2 linked regions of the Styela clava genome follow. The protein of the gene in region 2 purifies or fractionates together with the protein of the main gene of each other region. This does not show direct contact. Links are inferred from orthologs where the notes say so. Each region holds a gene or a part of one and is shown on either strand. Other genes may lie near its edges.

What was found. Proteins that work in one complex are often made in the same cells at the same time.
Region 1: the proteins of tyrosine-protein kinase RYK-like (region 2) and adhesion G protein-coupled receptor A3-like purify together in Homo sapiens (affinity purification with mass spectrometry; 3 studies listed by BioGRID and IntAct, with this or other methods). This does not show direct contact. The link is inferred for Styela clava from reciprocal best matches to the Homo sapiens genes RYK and ADGRA3.

What each region holds. Positions count from the first base shown.
Region 1 is NC_135258.1:16,969,084-16,976,099, forward strand, and holds the start of adhesion G protein-coupled receptor A3-like, read right to left. Parts: upstream 3,014-7,016; 5' UTR 2,044-3,013; coding exon 1-2,043. Other genes in the region: N-acetylglucosamine-1-phosphotransferase subunits alpha/beta-like, read left to right, coding at 6,777-6,905. UniProt on the Homo sapiens protein: Orphan receptor that may have a role in planar cell polarity pathway.
Region 2 is NC_135257.1:16,879,155-16,886,147, forward strand, and holds the start of tyrosine-protein kinase RYK-like, read right to left. Parts: upstream 3,016-6,993; 5' UTR 2,133-3,015; coding exon 2,127-2,132; intron 1,176-2,126; coding exon 1-1,175. UniProt on the Homo sapiens protein: May be a coreceptor along with FZD8 of Wnt proteins, such as WNT1, WNT3, WNT3A and WNT5A. Involved in neuron differentiation, axon guidance, corpus callosum establishment and neurite outgrowth.

The DNA.
Region 1 (7,016 bases), on a different chromosome or scaffold from region 2:
ACTCTCGTCTTTTACCCAACCACGATCTCGAGACCAAACTGCGGGACCATGAGATCCTGTGTGAGTAGTTTTAAATTTGAAACTAATTGGGTCAGAGAGATTAGAAACATTGCAACCACTAACTCCAGTTTCCAGAACAATATTCTGTGTTATTGAGTTTGAATTTCCAAAGGTTGTGTTCGATAAGCTGTCTATACTATCCAGAAATTTTTGTTGAAATAGGCTCCCATTTCTATAGGCAATGAAGTAAAGCTTATATTGGCCAGTTGGACTTTCTCCACATGAATTAAGAAGGGATTTTGGCAAAGACACAGAAGATTGCATTTCTTGGCGTTTAAATTGAGATGTCTTACATTCAAATTTGAAGTTTTTAATACCGCTTGAAACCTTACATGTCAATCCATTACCTTCTTTATTATATTGTGACTTACTCTCCATCATAAATCCACTCACTGCGATATTTTCAGAAGCATCGCTGAACTCTGCAGAAGATGTTCCTTTCAGTGCATAGCTTCTTACAACTTTCAAAATTTTATCGCACGCTCCAGAAGCTTTTTGTGCCTCTCTTAAAAGAGATGCATTGGCATTCATAGCATAGCTTGCTAATCCCAATATTTCATCGCCCAAATCATGCCTGTTGCCATGAACCATAACATCCATCAATCTTTCCATTAGCTGACTGATTAACTGGACAGTGAGAGATTCTGTGATGGGTGTGGGAACTTGAAGCAAGCCAAGATTCCTTATCAACTCCTGAACTAAAGATTCTGCATTACGTGATGTAATATCTTTTAAAGAATTGTGTATCAATCTAGTTGCCTTGCTTTTGTAAGGGCAGTGGTCATAATGCTCCAATGACCAATTCCCACTGGAACAGCTTCGATATGCCTTGTTAATATGCATTTCACCAGGCATACTTCGTGATAATGGGCATTTGATGGACTTTGTTATGCCAGATACCGTTGAGTTCCACGTAAAGTCACCTCTGTTATTTTCAACTTCCCTTCTAGGGCAGTAACTAGAATTATGACTTATGACTATAATTCTGATAACTCTATTTTCACTTCCATGTTCTGATGAAACCATACAACTCCAATTTCCACTGTGATTCTTAGAGAGATTTTTTATCTGTAAGAATCCCATAATAATTGGTTCATACTTGCTGATGGCTGCATTTTTTACAATCAGGTTTTCGTCACTCAGATTAATAGATATTCTGTTGAAACTCCAAGTTATTTCAGACGTTGGCAAATTTGTACCTTCACATTGCATAAAGAATTCATCACCTTCAAAAACTAATTGATGGGAATCCGGTGTTATTTCAAAATAGGGCAAACTTGATAATGTATTATTTGCATCACATACAAAATCATCCGTAGTCAAGCTACGAAGCGAACGTCCCCTCAAACTTAGGGGTAAGTGACAAGTTCCATATACTCTTACTGGAGGGTCTTTCGTATCGATCCAGATTTTGAAATCATGCATAAGGCAGTTGCAAACAAAATCAGTAGATTTCACATACAATTTTCTTAATTTTGGAAGATTCGAAAATGAATCTCCAGGAATTATGGGAAATATGTTTAAGGAAAGGTCCAGAACTTCCAGACTTGGTAAACCCTCAAACATATCGGCGGATAAATGTCCAATGCTGTTTGAACTCAAATTCAGTCGTGTCAAATTTGTAAAAATTGAAAACGATTTTGGAGATATTCTTGAAATTTTATTGTTTGACATATCCAACTTTATAACTTGTTTTAATATTTCAAGTGTGTGAAGTTTTTCTCCAAAAATATCTTTATTTATTTCTTTCAAATCATTATCAGTAAGATCTATGGAAAGTAAGACAATGTCGTCTGGAAATTCCGCATTAGCAAACATGTCAGCAATATTGATTCTGTGACAGTCCATTTTCTTGCCTTGTATCTTGGACTGTCGTGACTTGTTCCTGCAGCCGCATGACGTGTGGTAATTGAGAACACATCCATTTGACAGAGATGCAAGTAATAGGATCACAGGCAGTAATATCTCGGGGAACTCCATCATACTAATGATCAAGAAGTCATGAGCAGTTTAATGGCTGCCACAAATGTGTTATAGTTATCACGTTATCATTTCAACCATAATTATATTTAAACATTAATTCTAGGATAAGATAGGATTTACATATTTATCCCGGGGGAGAGGAAAGGCGATAAGACGGCTTAATCATATGGCGAACCACGGCCTCTCACCCGGTTACCAGTCCAGGTCGGGTATGGGATTAGATAGCCAGTTATTTGTTCTGGAAAGCATGGACTTGACTTGGACTTAATGGTGGAGGAAGCCGTAACCGACCAGTGGTTACGTGAACCACCCTGCGGCGGCGAGGAGTCCAGCAATGCTCTCGCACATGATCATCCCTGCATGGGATTCGAACCGGCGAACCCACGAAGGGTAATTAGAGATGCGGTGAGGAGCGTATTTCTAACGCTTAGCACGATAGCCACACCGCCGAGCCAATTCTAGAAATATAGTAAAATATTACACTATTGAAGTAATCTTAATCGGAGACGTTCACGTAAATCTGTTTGTTGGCTGCTGGCTAGTTGCATGCTTCTCCGCCATTCAGTACATGTACTGGTAGTCTATTTATAACAAACAACTTATCACAGAATACAGTCTTGTGTTTCCCTATTTTTTTTAAATCCATTTCTTACCATTACTGAATTACAGTAACATTCAGACATTAGTGACACTGCGGTACAGTACCGGTATCAAAAAGAGAGACCCGATCAGTTAAAGCGGTTTATCAACTAAACTTTGTCAGAAAAGTTAGGCCAGATATAGCCTATGTACGTAAAAGAGGCAAGTGTAAAAACTACTAAAGGCAATGTATGAAATAATACTAGTCTAAATCGTAAATATATACCACTACTAAATAATTGAAATATTTTTGAAATTGACTCTGGTCGAAGCGAAATAGTTTGGCTTCGGATTCCGGTACCGGCAAGTGTCGAATCGTAGCCTAGCCCTAGAACAAAATTATTTGCGGACTCATTTTCTGTCCTTTTTTATTTTGATGAATTTATATTGTCACAACGCATTCCGACAGTTCGATACTGGATTTCCTGCGAGGGCCTTGCAAACGGTATGGTACGGGACCGGTGTTGACATGCACAAATCAATGTTTAAGTTGCTTATTTTACTGTAATTCTATAAAAAAAAAAATTACTATTGATTTTTAATATTGGTTTGTGCGAATAAAATCTCTCTCGCTCTATGGTTAACCAATTAATGTTTCTCCAAGCATCGATTTCTTTGTTTATATCTATACCAATGACCATTCAGCATGAAGTACACGATGACGTAACAATGGCAATTTTTGCAGACGCTCGGACACATCCAAGCGGGACACATCGTTCACCCAGACCAACGACTAACATACCCAGACATAGATTAGATTCTCAAGCATTGCTATAAAGTGTAAACAATGCCTCGTTTTCGTGTTTTTTTCTCGTGATATTTGTAAGATTTCAGCTGTGATTACAAAAATTAGTTGTAAATGAAGTACCGTGTTTCCCCGGAAATAGGACCTACCCTTAAAATAGGACCTAGCATAAATTTTAAAAATTATTTTAATATAACGCGAATTTATTTTTGACCTAGTCGATAGCAAGAAATCTCCCCTACACGTTTTGAATGATTAATAACCTGTGTTTTGCAGTTATTTTGAATAAAAACGAATATAATTGGGTGGTTCACGTAACCGCTGGTCGGTTACGGCTTCCTCCACCACCAAGTTCATGCTTCCGAAAACAAACAATATATAAATAATCCCATACCCGACTTGGAATGGTAACCGGACGAGAGGCCGTGGTTCGCCATATGGATAAGCCGTCTTATCGGCTTTCCTCTCCCCCGGGATAAATATGTAAATCCTATCCTATCCTAAAAACGTGTTATTTATAAGTAAATAGATATGTCAATTTTCATATTTTGTATATTTGAAAATCTCCCAATTTTCTACGTTGTAATTTTGTTTTTGATAAATGGAAATATAAAACATCCCCCAAAAATAAGCCCTAGTTTTATTTTTCGAAAGAAAATTGAAATAAGACCCAGTCCTATTTTCGGAGAAACACGGTATGTAAGATTCCGATCCCAACACCACGGGGAATCATCATCATAACGCAAATGCTTTGGCGTTGCCATTTCTTGATTCTCGGATTGGGTTGAGGATTCTGATTGGTTGAGGTTAAATTGTATTGAAGCTGACGAGACCGCAAGGTTAAAGAAGAAGCAAGTGAGAATTATTATTTTTTTAACAAGAAATGCAATCATCGATTCAATAGAAAAGTATTAGAAACAAGATAGCAATGCTCAAATATATGGACACATCCATCAGAGCGAAGCAGTTCTCACTTTGACGCAACCGGTACCACAGAGATCCGGTACCTACAACGCTGCTCGTCATAGCAGAGTAAGAATTTCGTTATACACCACCTTCGTTCGATGAGCACGTGATCAAGAAAACAAAAAGAAGAGTAAAAACAAATCCATTACGTGTCAAAATAACGAATCCCAAAGTGCTACCAGGAATATTTGAAATAAATAAAAGTAACACCCTTCTAGAAAGAAAAATTCATCTTTAACCACTGAAAATTTTGAAGAAATTGGTCCAATAATCAAAGAAAAAGCTATAATTTAAGTTTTCCACTAGGTATCCAAAAATAATGCAAAACAATCGTTATGCCCACTGACGTGTCCAATAAAATTGTTTGGTATGAACCGGAGGGAACAATACGGCCGCACGGTCATCGAGGTCAACTCCCACCATACGCGCTGGTTTGATTAAGATTCACACTTGAAAATGACTAGTTAGAGAACTTCACAATAAAAGGTTTTTACAAGTTTTTGGAACAAAATTCCTTTGTATTCCCAAGTAACTTCATTGTTATACCAGTGTATGAGTGTGTGAGAAGTTAAGTTTTTCAAAATGAGACATAATTAGTTGAATACTCAGTTACACAATAAATTTTTGTCTATTTTAGAGTTAGACGATAATAAATAATAGCCTACTCTATGAAAACATTAAAAAAACTAAATACGAAAAAAGAGAGTAATAAGAATATTCATACACGGCGGAGCAGGGACAAAAATTATAATGTGGTGAAAATTTGTCATACCATGAAAAATAATTAAATGCAACTCAGTGGTATAACTCATCTCCATTTCCACCAATAATAAAAATACTTTATTTAAACATTCACAATCAACTATTGAGGTACACATTAGATCAGCATAAGAGGCATTGTGAGGCTTTATTCAATTTCGCAAACAACCGCACCTTTAGGAGTGCATCGTTCAATCTGCAGCTACACGAGAAGTAAGCTATGTGTAATCGCTTGCATTGCATACTCAAAATATGACCGATTTCCTAAATAAATAAAAACCATCTACAATGGTACGACGTATGAGATAGAAGCACAGAGGATAATACCCCTTCAATGTTTAAAATTTGTGGAGTCATACATAATAATTCTATATACGATTGAAGGATATTTCGGGTCAAATGATATATTTTTTTTCATACTGTACAAAAGAATAAAAGTTTCATAAGAGGAAAAGGGTATCGTTCGCAGGTCGTTGTGACGCCCTCCTGCACCCAAGATGATGCATCTGAAACAACTAATTGTGCTCAACATACTGATGATTGGGCGGCATGTTCAGGCCGCTTTTCTTCTTCTGCCTCTAAAATTTAGGAATGTATTATATTTACGTTTTTACGTGAACTTCGTCGCTGTTTGTATTACTTACGTGAGATTGCGAGCACATTCATTAATTTTTTCTGTTTCAACACCACAACACCTTGTCAAAAATAATTGTTATTCATTAAAACAATATAAAGCAGAGACAATGAAGAATTCTGAATATTCAGACTATTTGAAACGAAAGTGTCGAGAACATTGTGAAAAGTAAAATGAACGGCAAATAAAACGGACTATTTATACGAAAACCCGACAATTTTAAAGAAAATCATACATTCATTAGTTTGGCAACCCACACGATCCGATGCCGATGCCAGCCGATGAACGGCTTACGTTGAGACATAGATGTATGTTCTTTGAACGAAGGGAGCATTTTTTACTTAATACGAGGTATTTAGAGCTCCTAGAAATAAAATCCTAGAGATCTTGCATATAAAATCATAGCGCCTACTAAAATAGTCTGGAGTTTACGCATCAATGTAACAACTAATAAATGTGTGCACTTTTCGTATTTTCAGCTCACGTGACCACTTTTTAAATTTACTATTACAAAAAAAAACGGGTTGGTAAATAAAAATCCCAAAAATCCATATTTCGAAATTTCAAACTTAGTCCCGAAATCCCGTCGATTTTGTAAGCTTAGTACGATCAATGAGCATATATATACATGCTCATTGGTACAATGTTCTAACGTTTGAACAAGGGGATCCAAAGACAAGAAATGGATCAAATTGTGTAGATACGGACAGCATTTCCACATTTTGGTTCATTATTCAATAATACTCATAATTTCCAATACCGCAAAGGCAATCACAAAGTACGTTGGTATCACGAGTTTTTTGGAAGTTGTGTATGGAGTGCGTTTTTATAGGCATTTTAGGTGCAACTTTTTGATGTAAGTTCTAATGTGGTAGTTGTCGGTATTTACAGGGCGTGCATCGTGTGGGGTTGCAACTAGGGGGTCATGAGGTTTTTCATGTGTCATGTGTGATATACATTTACCAGGTTAACGTCATTATAGCATTAACAATGAGAAAGGAAATATTTTTTAAACTTCTGCAAAGGCATACTTACACATGCCTCTCTCATCAATATGGAATCTATTTTGCATTTGCTGGAATTGTTCTTGTTTTGTATTCTATGTTTCAATTCGGCGAGGTAAGTCGACAACATATGAATAGAATAAAAGCATAGGCTATAGCCTAAGTGTTTACACATTCTCTAATCTATATAGTAAAGCTTGTAGTTCTGTAGTTAGTTCACCTACTA
Region 2 (6,993 bases):
TCAAGAACAACATTTTTAATTGTGAGAAGATTATTGTGCTGCATACCCCTAAGAAGTGAGCTTTCGAATAAAAGAAATCTGGTTTGTTCCTCAGATGCTGCTTTGGTTACAGTCTTGATAAGCACCGGTACGTTCTTCTCCAAGTAACCCCTGTATATACGTGAAAATGTTCCCTCTTGGAGCATTTCTTCGAGTACAACATCAGACTTAGGAACAGCAATAGCAGATAATTTGGCTCTTATGTCGACAACATCAGTTCCTAAGTCATTGATAATTGGAGTGAAATGCATCCAGCTTGCGTTAGATCCCGGGGCTGGTCGTGGTGCAGTTTCATTATTTGGTAGATCTGGCCTCAAGAATTGGTTGTTATGATGCATGTTAGCTGACACATGGTTCATTGAATATGTCCCCGCCTCTGCTTTACGCTGTCGCCTATGCCAGATTCTTACTATAATAACTGCCATTATGATGATAAATGTGACAACTGATATCGATATATAAAAAGCTTTTGTACTCTGAGAATTGCTGTGGGTGGGGTCATATGACTTTGGCTGATTTCCATTATTTGTGTCACCGTCTTCATTACTTTTCTCTGGGGCATTTGAGTTATCATTACTTGGATTTATATTTTCAGCGACTGGAACATTTTGTTTGAATTTTGAACATTTTTTCAAACGCTTCAGCTCTACTTTGGTTGTTTCTGCTGGGTTGTCGTAAAGTCTAAACACTAATGAAATAAGAACAACAGTTTCTCCATCCTCCAATCCAGTACATTTTAAGTTAACTGAAAACGGTGCAGCATAATTAGGAAGTTTACCATTGTTTTTAATAGTCGCATTTGGAGCATGCATTGGACTTTTCAATTGCTTTTCTTCCTTATCAGAATGCATTGGTGACGAAAATTTCAAGTCATACAAAACACTTGTGTCAGGATCAGTCGCCTTCCACATAAAGTTGAGAGTATCTTTATCTTCTTGCACATGAGCCATGAAAGATATGGCATTCTGGTTGATAATCCCATTGCGGATATAATATAACTCCATTCCATCAGCTCCAAATAAGTCTTCAACTTCCGTTACGGGGAGATACAAATTAATATTCGCCTGGGCCAACAAACAAAATATTGAAAAGTAATACAGCAGAATAACGGGTGGCTGATACCTGCCCATTTTGTTCTGGAAAAGCAAAGTAAAAAGTTACAATTTTAGAGGCAATAAAAATGTACAAGAAAGCGAAGACCAAACCTTAAATCAGAAATAACACCACAAAGTTATTACATCATTTCAAATTCTTTTGCTCAAAGCAATGACAGTTATAGGAAAAGATAGTATTTTAATCAATGTATTGTTCCCTATCCTATTCGAAACATTCATGCATACAGATAAATTAAGGATCATAATATACATTTAAACATCTGATATTCTTATCATAGAGGATGATAGAAAAGTTATGTAATAGATTAATGATGTACGGTAATTTATTTGAGATACTGATGTTAGAAGCATGGTAATAATGATTGATTGTAACGTATATAAAGATAAAATCTAGAATATCTGTTTTCTTTCTAAACAAAAAAGGTTTTGTTATTACCATATTTTATAATATATACTATATTGTATAATATGGTATTTTTTACTTTTTTTCAACCCATAAAACTTATTTTCCAATACAGAAGGAAGAAAACAGATATCCTAGATTTGAAAATATTTCTATACAAAAAATATTGATAATATTTCTATTGTCATATAATATTTTCTAACAGAAATTTTTATTTATAAGCTAAAGGATACTAAACTGATTGGTACAAATGATAAGCTCAAAACAACTGAGGTGTAGTTGCTCTCTTTATAGAACTCTATATTAAATGTTTGTTTTGTCACTTACTGATCAAGAGCAATCTCATCCAAAAAGAAAGAATAACATATTGTTCAATGGACTATTGGGAGTACTCCCGTAGTGTGTGTACCAGGTTAGGGTTAGGCCATAATTTTATTCTGATTTTCCCTATTTATGTTATATTACGAGTTCGGGGACTGGCTGTGTTAGACAACTGAATACACCCCCTGCCCACAGGCTTCAGTCTCATTACACAAACTGATGTAAAATAAGCGAACAAAATTAGTTACCTCCATATTGGTACACACACTTCTGCAGCGTCCTACTGGAATATGATTCAGTTCAATTCATTCCAAAGCAGACCAGATGTATGAACACATAGGACAATTCGTTTGTCCCAATCTTTCAAAATTAATTATCAATACTGTGTAAGCTGGTAGACATGGGATTTAAACTCGAATTTCACTTGATATGCCACCATAATTAAATTTAACAGTTTAACCACCCCGCACAGTAATCTCATGAGTTAATTTTAAAATGTTTCTTAAGACAAATTTATTAAGAAGATTATGCATTCTTTCTTAGATATAAGCACTGAGGCGTTAAAGATTTCCAATAATTTTTGTTGTTCCTGGAGCATATCCATGCTCTGTCCAATATTTAATTTTTTGTTTTATTTTTTCTGAAGCTTCATCTTTGCTGAAAATTTCGACAGTGTCTGCTAAAATATATGTCGCTAGATAAGTTTTAACAATTCGAGATTCGTTTTCATCTACTAATTTTGCTAATCTAACTTGGTGAAGTTTTCCAATAACTTGAATATTCATATCTTTCTTTATTGTTGAAAGCATTTGCATAGCTTCATGTGACTTATTGTTTGCTTTAACTTGTACTGTTAGATATAAATACGTTCCCATGTACATCTTGATACCTTTGGTTTTAGTACAATATCCTCTCTCAACTTTTCCAGCAAAAATTACCCTATTGACATGTTCACTTCTGTGTTGAGGTTCAGTCATTCCATCATTTTGTACATCAGTGTTTGTTGAATATAATTTAGAAATTGAAGCAAAATGTCTTCGTACATTTTTACTTGCTTTCTGTGCTATGTCTCTAGAAATTCTCAGAGTAATCATTCTGCAGTGTAGAAGCACTTATATAATATTGAAAGATAAATATCTCGGTCTACATAGCTGGTATAGAAATACAAATAAAATAGTGAAAAAAGTAATCCATTCACAGATTCATTAGATATTTGAGAGCAACCAAATACTGAAATAAGAGAACACTAGAACATTATTACATTTCGAACAACACTTAGCTATTTTAACAGAACACTAGAACATTACTGCATTATTGCATTTCAAACAACACTTGGCTATTTTAACAAGGAGCTAAGCACAAAAAAAAAGTGTAACCCAATCTACTGAACTATAGAATTCTGGTATTGCAACTGTAGATTCACATTAAATGTTATGGTAATTAGGTATTGGTAAGCTTCATTTTTGGGGTCTGGTATAGTTTAGTACCACATGCACTTCTAGTTGGCCTGGCTCAACAATTTTTGCATATGTCAATCCTAACCCCCACCTGACTACGTCACCGAAAAATTACGTCATTTGGACGTCACAGTGGCGTAATAAGACCAACCAAAGTATGCGGATGGTCGTCCAATACGCACATACAATCACCCGAAATCGAGCAAGCTATTTCTCTCGTTTTTTCGTCACAACGATCACCATAGGAGAGAGATCGTCGGCGTTAGCGAGTTCGTTATCGGCGGTGCAGACGCCATTTCGGGCGATTGTAATTATACTTTGGCAAGCCATATGACGTGATGGTGACGTAATTTTTGGATGGCATAGTCAGGTGGGGGTTAGGAATACCATATGCAAAATTCGTTACGCTACACCCACTGGAAGTACTTGTGGTACTAAACTATACTAGACCCCATTTTTGTGCTCAAATGTTGAGAGAGAAGCCGCAGATTTTTTTTCAAATTTATTTAAAAATGCGCGCTTTAGCTCATTGTTCATGAACCTTATTGAACATATAACAAGATCTTCATAAAAATCAACAATCAGATTATAAACCATAAACAATTATTATGGACTGATGGTTAGGGAAACTGGGTCTAGTCTGCTAGTGTAATATAGTAGGTACCACAAGTACGGAAGTAGGCTACTTCTAGTGGGCTTGGAATGATCATTTTTGCATATGTTATTCAGTTATCCTTAACCCCTACCTGACTACTTCATCCAAAACCTCACTATCTATGACTTAATTGGAAAATAATAATTATTTGTCAGCTTGTAACCCTGTATCCTCCTGTCAGATTTACAGTCTGACAGTGGAACACTTTTATAACATGAATAAATAAAAATAGAGATAAATCTAATGAGTTTTGCGATTGTCTATAAATTAGTAAGTTTTTTTTATTTTTATTTTTTTTAAACGCTCACAAATGTGTTAAATGTGATACAGTAATAATCATAGAAATAATGGGAAAAAAAAATTTTACAATCATTATTATTCCAAACTGTAATCCATAATATCCGACGTAGTTTCCATTTTTCAGTATTCCAATGTTCAATAATCCATATATAATCCGTAATACTGTAATATCAATTCAGTGATATCAAGATGTTTACAAGTTAATAATACATTAGTTAAGCATTATTTGTTATACATAAAAATAGAAAAAAAAAACAATATTAGCAACTATACATTTACTCAAAATATAATCACAGACAGTTGGTTAAAAATTCTAATTCCTTTATGAAATTTGGTAATTTTCGAACTTTTTCTATATTTCTCCGACATGTTATTGAAGTTTGTATCTGTTTTATGACTGTTTGAACGTTAGGTATCTTTTTTTGAAATATAACAGCATTTCTTTCTAACCAGATCTTATATCTTGTTATTGATATAAGTAATACTATAATGTTTTCATGAAAATCTGAAAAAAATACAAAAATATATTGCAGTACAGCAGTGATTCCCAGCCTCCAATGACTAGTGACTTCCTTCCGGATACTTTTGGCACTCATGCCCCCACTGCTTATCATTCCAGTGGTATTTCTGTATTTCAGTATTTACAGTTGCAATACCAGCATTCTAGAGATTGATTGCCTCTTATAGTGTTATTGTGATTGATAGATTCCAGATCCGTATATGTTCAAACAATTCATATTCCCATATTTAACAAAGTGAAAACACTCTGTGGAATAACCTTCAATCAATCATTTTATTTCGTTTATTTGACATGTAAGAACACAAAAAGTAAACAGACAAAACAAAATGCAGAGATACCTGGAAGGCGAGCGTAACTTGAAGTAAAGTTAAAAAACGTACACGTAGGGATGGGCAATATAGAATACCTAATCCGGAGGATTCGAATCCAACAGGATCTGATAACAGGATTCGGTTTCCGCCTCTCCGGCGCCATTCATCAATTTTTGTATTTCGGGTTTCTAATTTATCAATTAAAGATGGGCGCTTTTTCTCGCGTGAAATCTCTCTCGTTTAATTAAACTTGCGTCTGCTCACAAAGAACCCGTAAAATCGGTTAACAGTCAGTTAACAGTTAACAATCGGAGTCCCTCGCGACTCCGGTCACGCAAAAACATGATTAGTACTGTAATTTATTCATTGTGTCACTTTATGTTTGAACGTGTTTTTTTGTGATGACAAAATAAACGATTGATTGATTGATTGACATCAACACTGTAATTGTAATCTCAATCGGCGTATTCTGGACAAGAAGTCGTCGAAGTACACCTCACGGCGAAGACTCGTTATTGCACTATTTTTGCTTTTTCCTGCTTTGTTATCTAGCTAGGGTATAATAATTATTTGTCCTGATTAACTGGCGATATTCCGATAATCTAATTGCAACAATATTTAATTTATCAACAATAATAATTTTTTTACACCATTTTCCGAAATACAAAGTTATATGGCAAAACACGACAATCTGTTACATTTAAATTTCACTTTCAAAAGATTACATATTTTTCGGTCCGTTTGTATCGTTAAAGAAAGACGCACGTTTGATCGAGTGTCTGTAGTATTTTAGTCGCGGATAAATTTAAAAAATGATGGCGCATCTGGCGAAGATAGTTACCTACGTATTGAGTGTGAGTACGGCCAAGTCTTGGTAGATAATGATATTTAGCGATAATAATAGAAAATAAATTCGTCTTCAGATGTTATTACCTAATAACTAATTATGAAATCGTGTTTACGGGAACTTTGTTTTTCAAGTCTTGCTCGCACAGAATAAAAAGTTGATTTAACTGATAGTGGGTAAATTTAATATTTTACAACGGCCGCATAAGTTGCAGTGGCCATACGATGGACCTGCATTTAATTAATTCTCAGCGGATGTGTTTTAGTGCACTAGGCACTTTAGTACACTGGGCAACATTAATACACTGGGCAACATTAATAATGATTTAATGCCGTTTCATATCTATTTTTGTATTTAACCGTGTAACGCACGTCGTAATTTAGCATATCAGCATTTAGAGATGACATACATTTGGAACAATTGAAGGCAAAAATATTGTAATATTCTTAGATTTTATTGTCCTTGGAAATGCCGGTTTAATATTAAATAAGTTAAGGATATTTTCAAATAAATAATACAATTATAGTAATACATTTACAATTTTTTAACATCTAAATCTAGCAATGTGGAAAACTCCCACTATTGAATAAATATGAAATTAGAATAGGATTCGGATCTATTTAACTATAAATTATTCTACATTGCCCATCCCTACGTACAAGTACGTGGGTAACATGCCTACCAACCAAAATAAAAAAAAATTAGAAACACACCAGCAATGGAACTAGGATTTAGGAAGAACGAGGACCTCTGTCACGCTAGCGAAATCCTGCTGCTCAAAAATACGATGTCATAAAAAGTGTTTCATTATAAAATTTATGAATAAAAAATAATTTAATTGCACTGAGCAAATGAGGTCTAAAATTTCGTTAGGGTTGGGTTTCCGTGGCTATTGATTAGAAATACTTCGCGAAGTGGGAACATACTTTTATGACATCGTATATTTTTATGTAGGATTTCGCTGACGTGACAGTGGCGAACGAATAGCGTTTATATGGCAGTATGGAGTGAAAATTGAAATGATT